Linked DNA regions of Arabidopsis thaliana. The protein of the gene in region 1 interacts with the protein of each later gene in a biochemical or structural test. Each region holds a gene or a part of one and is shown on either strand. Other genes may lie near its edges.

Region 1 (3,754 bases):
AAACAGCACAGCGAGAACAACAATCATCACGTGGCAAAGCAGAGTGAGAAGATGGTACTCCATCAATTCAAACACAACCCAAGCAGCTGTAGCACCACCAAGTACACCACCAGACATCTTCTTGTTCTTCCACATGAATATATCAGCCGCTGCAAATAGGAAGAATAATCAAGTTGAGCAAACATTACAACATACTGTCATCTAAATCAACCACATTAGAAAAACATGGAACTTGATACTGTAAGGTTTCTATATCGAGATTATGTCAAAAACCCATTTTTATGATCAAAACATTCATTTAGAAATGGAATCCCTAATTAAACCCTCACAAATGCCAAAATAAAGAACCCCAATAATACAAATGGACACGATGGATCGATTCAGATCAACGAGTAAAATAGAAACCCTAAACAAGTGCAGATTCAAATCACACATATCAATGAAACCTAATCCATCAAAATGAAAGAATAAACCAAACAACACATATAAGAAAACAGATCAAGCCACAACACACACAAATATATGAAAGTAAAACCAGATCGGAGAAAAACTTACGCTTTCCACCGCCGAGAACCTTATGAACAGGCTGCTCTCGTCCGAACAAGCGGTAAACTTTCGATTTCATAGAAGACGAAGGAGAAGAGGGCTTCTTAGTCTTCTTCTTCTCGTCTTCATCATCAGAAGATGAAGAAGACGAAGAAGAATCACCACCGTGATGGATCTTCTCCGATATCTTATCCATCAACGATTCTCTCTCCACAACCTCAACAGCTGGCTCAGGAGCGATCACAGATTCATCATGCTTATGTTCTTCCGCCATCGTTTCAAAACGCAAAGATCTTAGCTTTTTTCGATTTCGATGGAAGAAACAAAGAACACAGTATTTTAGCTGCTTCCCAAAGTTTTTACCTTTTGAGAAGAAAAGATCTCGAAGCCTAAAATAGAAGAAAGAAATCGAAACTCTAATCTCAGCCGTTGAAAATATGAAACTAATCTGAGCCGTTGGTTGGTTCGGATACGAACTTCCGAAGCTACAGGTTCGTTTACTTAATTAGAGCCAAACCTTGGGGAAAAAGGCAAAAAGCCAAATGGGAACACAAAATACATTTCACAAAACGAATGGTCGACATGTGACGCCGTCAGAGTTAACGTTTCCCGTCATGAGGGACGTATACGTGGCGATGTCTGAGCTAAGTAACTAGGTTATGATCAGGTGTCACGCGGCTGACGCATGATGCGGTACGATCTAATTTTTTTAATTGCAGGACACGTGGAGGAAGATTCAGCCATTCGTACATGCGTCACGTTCTTTCTGTCTGCGTCAAAAAAGGACACAATCAAACAAATTCTTAATATTATAATAAACGTAATATTCTAAAACAGTATATAACGTCTAGAAAAAAATGATAGTCGGCAAAGAAAATAACGATAATAGGCAAAGAAAAATATAATAATAGGTGTAAAACAAAACACATAGAAAAGTGAAAATAGGTGTAAAAAAAAGAAGAGAAAACCTTGTAAAAAATGTGAGAGTGAGAAAGAGTGGAGCCCAATAAAGCACAAATAATGGACATCAATCTGATCAAGCCCAGTATCAGTTCTCTCATGGGCCCATTACAAAAAGATGCTCGGAAACAAACTGAAACCTCAAGTTATGGTCCATAAATAATGAAGTACACAAAAATGCTCAAACCGATGTATTGTGTTTCGAATAACTCAGACAATTACCTTGTACATGGAAGACAAAGTGAAATAGTAGAAGCTCCATGAGAGAACACAACACAAATAATAAAACAAATGATAGGGTAATGGCATGATGAAAAAATATTTTAGGTACTGCAACGTCTGAGAAATGTAATTTTTTTTCTTTGTCGAGAGAACAAGACGAGCTACTTAAATGGAGTCATATTTTTTGTTCAGACGACTTCACCCTTACCATAATATATTCCACTAAAGCCTTTGTGGTATACATTAAGAGCAAATTGGTCATTTACAAAAACAACAAATGGAATATCCGTTGAATTAAGCATCTGACTTTTGCCCTTTGTTCAAATCAAATGCAGTTATAATGGGTTGAGCTAAGTTAAAGCCCATAACATTTAAAGCCCATTGAATAATCTAGAAACGACGACGTCGTTTTATTAGAGAAACCCCATTTCTGTAACACAGCTCCTAAACCCATTTGCTCACTTCGTCGTCGTCTCTCTCTCTCACTGGTAAAAAGCAAACAATGTTGCTCCGTCGTGCAAAAACACTACCCAAAACCCTACAAAACCTCCGGTTATTCTCTCCGGCGGCGAACGCAGCTCTATCCCTAGATCATATCCAAGAAACCCAATTAACTTACCTCCCTGGATTCCCTCGACCCGATCCAAAACACGCAGAGACGATCTTAGCCGTTCCAAGGTCTGTCTCCGGCAAGAGCATATCAGCGAAAGAGCGTAAAGCGGGTCGGGTTCCTTCGATCATATTCGAACAAGAGGATGGACAACACGGAGGAAACAAGAGGCTTATTTCAGTTCAGACGAATCAGATCAGGAAGCTTGTGAATCATTTGGGTTACTCTTTTTTCCTCTCTAGGCTCTTTGATGTTGAGGTTCGAGCTGAGATTGGTTCTGATGAGGTTATTGAGAAAGTCAGAGCCTTGCCTAGAGCGGTAAAGTCTCCATTTCTCTCACTCATGAAATTGATTAAAGTTTGCATTTTTTCAATGTTTGGTTTAGTGGTGTGTTTGGATTATTGGTTTATGTATTGAGTTTTTAGAAATGTTATGCTATGTGATTTCAGATTCATTTGCACTCTGGGACTGATGCTCCACTGAATGTGACATTCATAAGAGCGCCTCCAGGTGCTTTGTTGAAAGTTGATATCCCTCTTGTGTTCATTGGAGATGATGTTTCTCCTGGATTGAAGAAAGGTAATAAACCCTTTGCTAGTTTTTTATAATTGGGATCTTTAGTGAGGAATCAAAAAGAAAATAAAGGAAGCATTTTGATAAGCATTTGAGAATAGAGGAGTATATACATGAGTTTGTTAAGGTGCTTACATAGGAATCACTGTTCTTAGTATGAGTTTCTGGATAGCATTTTCTTTTCTCGAATCATAGGCAATGAACAAAATAGATGAGAAATGTGGTTAAAGATTTGGAAGAGAGATAGTGATCAAACATGTGGTTTTTGACTTCTGATTGCTGTGAACGAATAGTCCTGTACGCTTGAGTAGATATGCTAAATGCAGGATTAATACAACGGTTTCTAACTCCTGAAGTAGTTAAGGCCACACATATATTCTTGACGTCATTGGAGCTCATTGAGCTTCTAATCTGTAGAGAAGTGATACTGCTCGGGTTTCAGTTACCCTTTCTTGGATCAGACTGAGCTAAGCTTAGTCGATAGCAAGTAATCATCACTTCAAGTGACGTTATGGTTGATGTTTTACAAAATTTTAACTCGATTTAAAAGAAATCTATGTTTGCATTATACATCTTATAATGGCTTGTATCTTCCTCTGGCTACCCATTTTTGGGATTTTGAAGTTTCATTTCTCTGGCTACTCTCTACCCAATTTTGTAGATCGCAGCATCTAGTTTCCTGTTAGATTTTGATATTGATCACTATTTCTTAATCTTTTGGCAGGAGCATCTCTGAATACGATTAAAAGAACAGTAAAGTTCCTATGCCCAGCAGAGATTATCCCACCATATATAGAAGTAGATCTAAGCCAATTGGATATCGGACAAAAGCTAGTAATGGGA
Region 2 (3,754 bases), on another chromosome or scaffold:
ATCAGAAGCATGCTGCTCAATGTTACGGATCCAATTCCTGATGTCTGGAATTGAAGAAAACAAAGGATGAAAAAGAACAAATTAGTTGAGTAGAAAATAATAAAGCTAGCAAATGGAAAAATATAAAGTTTAGAACCGTTGCAAGAGCTTGTTGGGTGGCATAAGGACTGCAAGTAAAAAGTAAAGAGAGTACTTACTGTTGAAAGATGATTCATCAGTCACATCATACACAAGCAAAATCCCCATGGCTCCACGGTAGTACGCTGCAATAAGAACAAACTACTCAGGTGTATTCCAGCGAGGAAGGCAAAGATGCATAAATAACAGCAAAAAGAGAAAACGAAAAGCAAGATCGAAAACACACCAGTTGTGATTGTGCGGAACCGCTCCTGTCCGGCAGTATCCCAGATTTGCAGCTTAATTCTCTTCCCATCGAGCTCAATAGTCCGTATCTTAAAATCAATCCTGTCAAAAACAAAAAGCAACTTGAGTAAGAACAGTGAACTACATAGAGGACGTGATAACACAGTGTCATTGCATGAAGACATCATACCCAATAGTTGTAATGAAACTGGTGGTAAACGAGCCATCTGAGAAACGTAAGAGAAGGCAACTCTTACCAACACCTGGTACATGAAAGAAAGCAAAAGTCAGATAAAACAGAGACATTAGAATAATCCACTGGAACATAGTGAAACACTTACTTACAACAATCAACAAAGGAATATTCAAATCAATTTGGCTAAAGCATTTGCGGCATTAACATCTAGAGAATATAATTAAATAGCTACAGCATTCATTTGTGATTCTCCTCCATCCTAATACCAAACTAAGAAGACTATGAACATCATATGCTCACAATTGTTGAAATGAGATCCAAATCTGAGTAAGATGTGTTACTCAAATCACTGTTGTCTCAAGATCCTTCAAACAAAACTTAAATTGTAATCAACAACAACAAAAATCGAGAGAATCAATCAACAAAAAGATAGAGATTGAATAAAATGCAGGGAACAAAAGGTAGTATTACGATCTGAATGATATAGAAACCTACCGCTGTCTCCGATCAGCAGAAGTTTAATGAGGTAATCGTAATCAGCACGAGCTCTAGCAGGAGGAGCAGCCATTTCTTAACAAAATCAAGTAATTTCCGAGAAACGGATCACTGGTAAGCAAAGAGAGCAAAAACTGGAGACAAAATTTAAATCGAGAATCAATTGTGTAGAACCTAAAAATCGAAAGAAGGAAGTACCAAATCTACTCGGGGAAGATAGATCGTCGGAAGCAAGCAAGACAGTAACCAGACGGCCGTTGAATTTTTTTCTTCCCCCGATTGGCTTTTTTCGGAGATTCAGAAGTTTTTTTTTTTTTTTTGGTTAGAGAGAAGAGGGAGAAGGAGAGGGAATGGATCTGGACCGTTGGATCTTGTTCGTGGAGATCTGTGTTGGTCCGGCGCGTGGTCTTCGGTTACGGTTTGATAAATTTCGAACCATGGGCCTTGGGCTAGTTTTATTTTTGTGTGCTAAATTTATGATTTGGTGTCCACTAAATGTTTAGTTTATTCTTACTGATCCAACCCAACAGGTTACAGAATTGATGAAGTATATTCATACAGTATATGTATTTTTCTATATTTCGTTCTGAGTTGCGTTGCGATTAAGCTCTGGGAAAAAAAAAGTTGTTTCAATCCCTTCACTTGTAAATAAACTCAATTATTTAACTCCAAGGGGACGCAAAGGTTAGGCAAAATAATAATAATAATAATAAGAGTTAGGCAAAAAGAGAGCGATTGACAAATTGAGGAAATTTGAATATATTGTCGTCGGTGTTAAGCAAATAATCATCCAAAGAATAAAGCGTGGATAGGAATCTACAATGATCCTACGTAGCATCTAATGTACTGCATGAGCATTCGTTTACTCAACCCCATCCACCGATCATCCGCTGCGGACAAGTCCACATCTTCACTTCTTCACGACCAATGAGGTAATGCCACGACGAAAGCCTTTCCTAAAATTACACGATCCATTTCCTTTTCTAAATGGATACGAAGAGTGTTTCCATTGACATTAAAGGAAAGCTAACTTTACTTAAAATATCGTCCTTGAGGTAACAAAAAAGTTTAAGCCCCTATACTGTCTTATTTAATGTTTTTTTTTTACTCTTACACTATTTAGTTCTATGTTAATCCAAATTTATCCAATTATTTCCGATATCTAACTATTATCCAAAAAAATTAGGGAATGACACGACACGACGTAAGCCTTTCCTAAATTATACGATCTAGTTTCCTTTTCTAAATGGATACGAAGAGTGATTCCATTGACATTAAAGGAAAAAGTTAAAGCATACATTCTCAGATTTGTTTTGAATGTAGACTGCAATTATTACGTTAATGTGATCGTCTTATTAATGCTTTTAACTCCAATTTACAATGAGATTCATGTTTATCCAATTTTATCCCAATCTCATTAAACTCTTACCATACAAAAAGTCAGAAAGATTATCCAAAACCTTCCGATATGAAAATGGTAATTATTTGAAATGCACGTGTATATTTATCATAAAAATTAATCATAAAACGGTGCTTACGGTGATGGTAATTGGTGACTTGTATCAATCAATGCCAGTAACCGATTATAATACGAGTTCAAATACCAAAAAAAAAAAGAGCTGTAAACAACAAAAATCCATATAATATCTAATACTTTTAAAAGTATAAATCTAATAATTTAAAATAATAATAAGTTAGTAATTTATTTTAAACTCCTAATATCAAAATAGTATAGAAATCCTATACTATCATAGGAATCCTAAAAGTATAAATTATTTTAAATTCTACTAATTTAATAGTTACCAGCTGAAAAAAAAAATAAAAAAAATAAAAAAATAATAGTTACCAAAATTACTATCATAGACAATCCATGCATTTTTGCATGAATCCTAATACTATATAAAATACGATAAACACCCATATTTATCATTTTACACATCTTTTTGTTTGAATTATCCATATACATTATGTATAGAAAGAAAATAAAAACGAATATTCACTTGACAGATTAACATATGCTTTTCTTTTGATTGCAGTTTGTAATCCACCGACAGAGAAATTGCGATGTCATAAATCTGAACACGAATTTTCGGTGCACTCGCCAACACCTGATCTCAACTCTCTCCAGCATATTCCCCAAATTAACAGTAGCTAACGGAGACTTAACGTGGACTCCTCGCAATCCGAGTCACTTTAACGTGTATCAGACAGCCAAACCTTACGTTGACCCCACCGCCGTTAGGAATTCCGTCTATGTCTCTTTTTCCATCATCCAATAAAATCTTGCCACATTGACACTTTCGGGTCCGGACATATTCCAAAATTAAAGAGAATTTAATTTATTGTTTTCCTTCCAGAAAAATATTAATATTCTTTCTAAACTAAAAAATGGAGTCTTCAAATAGCACAGAAGCAGAGACATAGAGCGGGAACGCGTTTAGTCACAGCTTTCTTCTCCTTTAGCTTTTCTCTCTACACTTGCTTCTCTCTCTCTCTCCTTTGGGTTATCCTTCTTGAGATCTGTGCTTGCGTTTCTTCTTCATTCGACGACACTTTATCTCGGGAGATTTCAGATTTGTCGATTTGTTCAGGTACGGATTTCGAAATGTTCTTTCAATCGGATTTGTTCTTCCTCGGAAGGTTTCTAGGGTTTTGGGATTGGGTGTCTTTAATCTGTTTGCATAAGCCATGAACGAGTTT

The links. Proteins that work in one complex are often made in the same cells at the same time.
Region 2: the proteins of BTI1 (region 1) and RAB8 form a complex in vitro, tested with the Arabidopsis thaliana proteins (one study listed by BioGRID).

The regions. Positions count from the first base shown.
Region 1 is NC_003075.7:12,315,136-12,318,889, reverse strand, and holds the start of BTI1 (VIRB2-interacting protein 1), read right to left. Parts: upstream 1,855-3,754; 5' UTR 1,729-1,854; intron 1,718-1,728; exon of another isoform or gene 1,515-1,717; intron 1,317-1,514; 5' UTR 821-1,316; coding exon 556-820; intron 150-555; coding exon 1-149. Other genes in the region: AT4G23620 (Ribosomal protein L25/Gln-tRNA synthetase, anti-codon-binding domain-containing protein), read left to right, coding at 2,231-2,695, 2,788-2,917, 3,636-3,754. UniProt on the Arabidopsis thaliana protein: Plays a role in the Agrobacterium-mediated plant transformation via its interaction with VirB2, the major component of the T-pilus.
Region 2 is NC_003074.8:19,877,138-19,880,891, forward strand, and holds the start of RAB8 (RAB GTPase homolog 8), read right to left. Parts: upstream 1,656-3,754; 5' UTR 1,558-1,655; coding exon of another isoform or gene 1,405-1,557; 5' UTR 1,253-1,404; exon of another isoform or gene 1,130-1,252; 5' UTR 1,128-1,129; coding exon 1,055-1,127; intron 627-1,054; coding exon 554-626; intron 466-553; coding exon 365-465; intron 264-364; coding exon 198-263; intron 45-197; coding exon 1-44. Other genes in the region: AT3G53611 (uncharacterized protein), read left to right, coding at 1,405-1,557. UniProt on the Arabidopsis thaliana protein: Involved in membrane trafficking from the Golgi to the plasma membrane.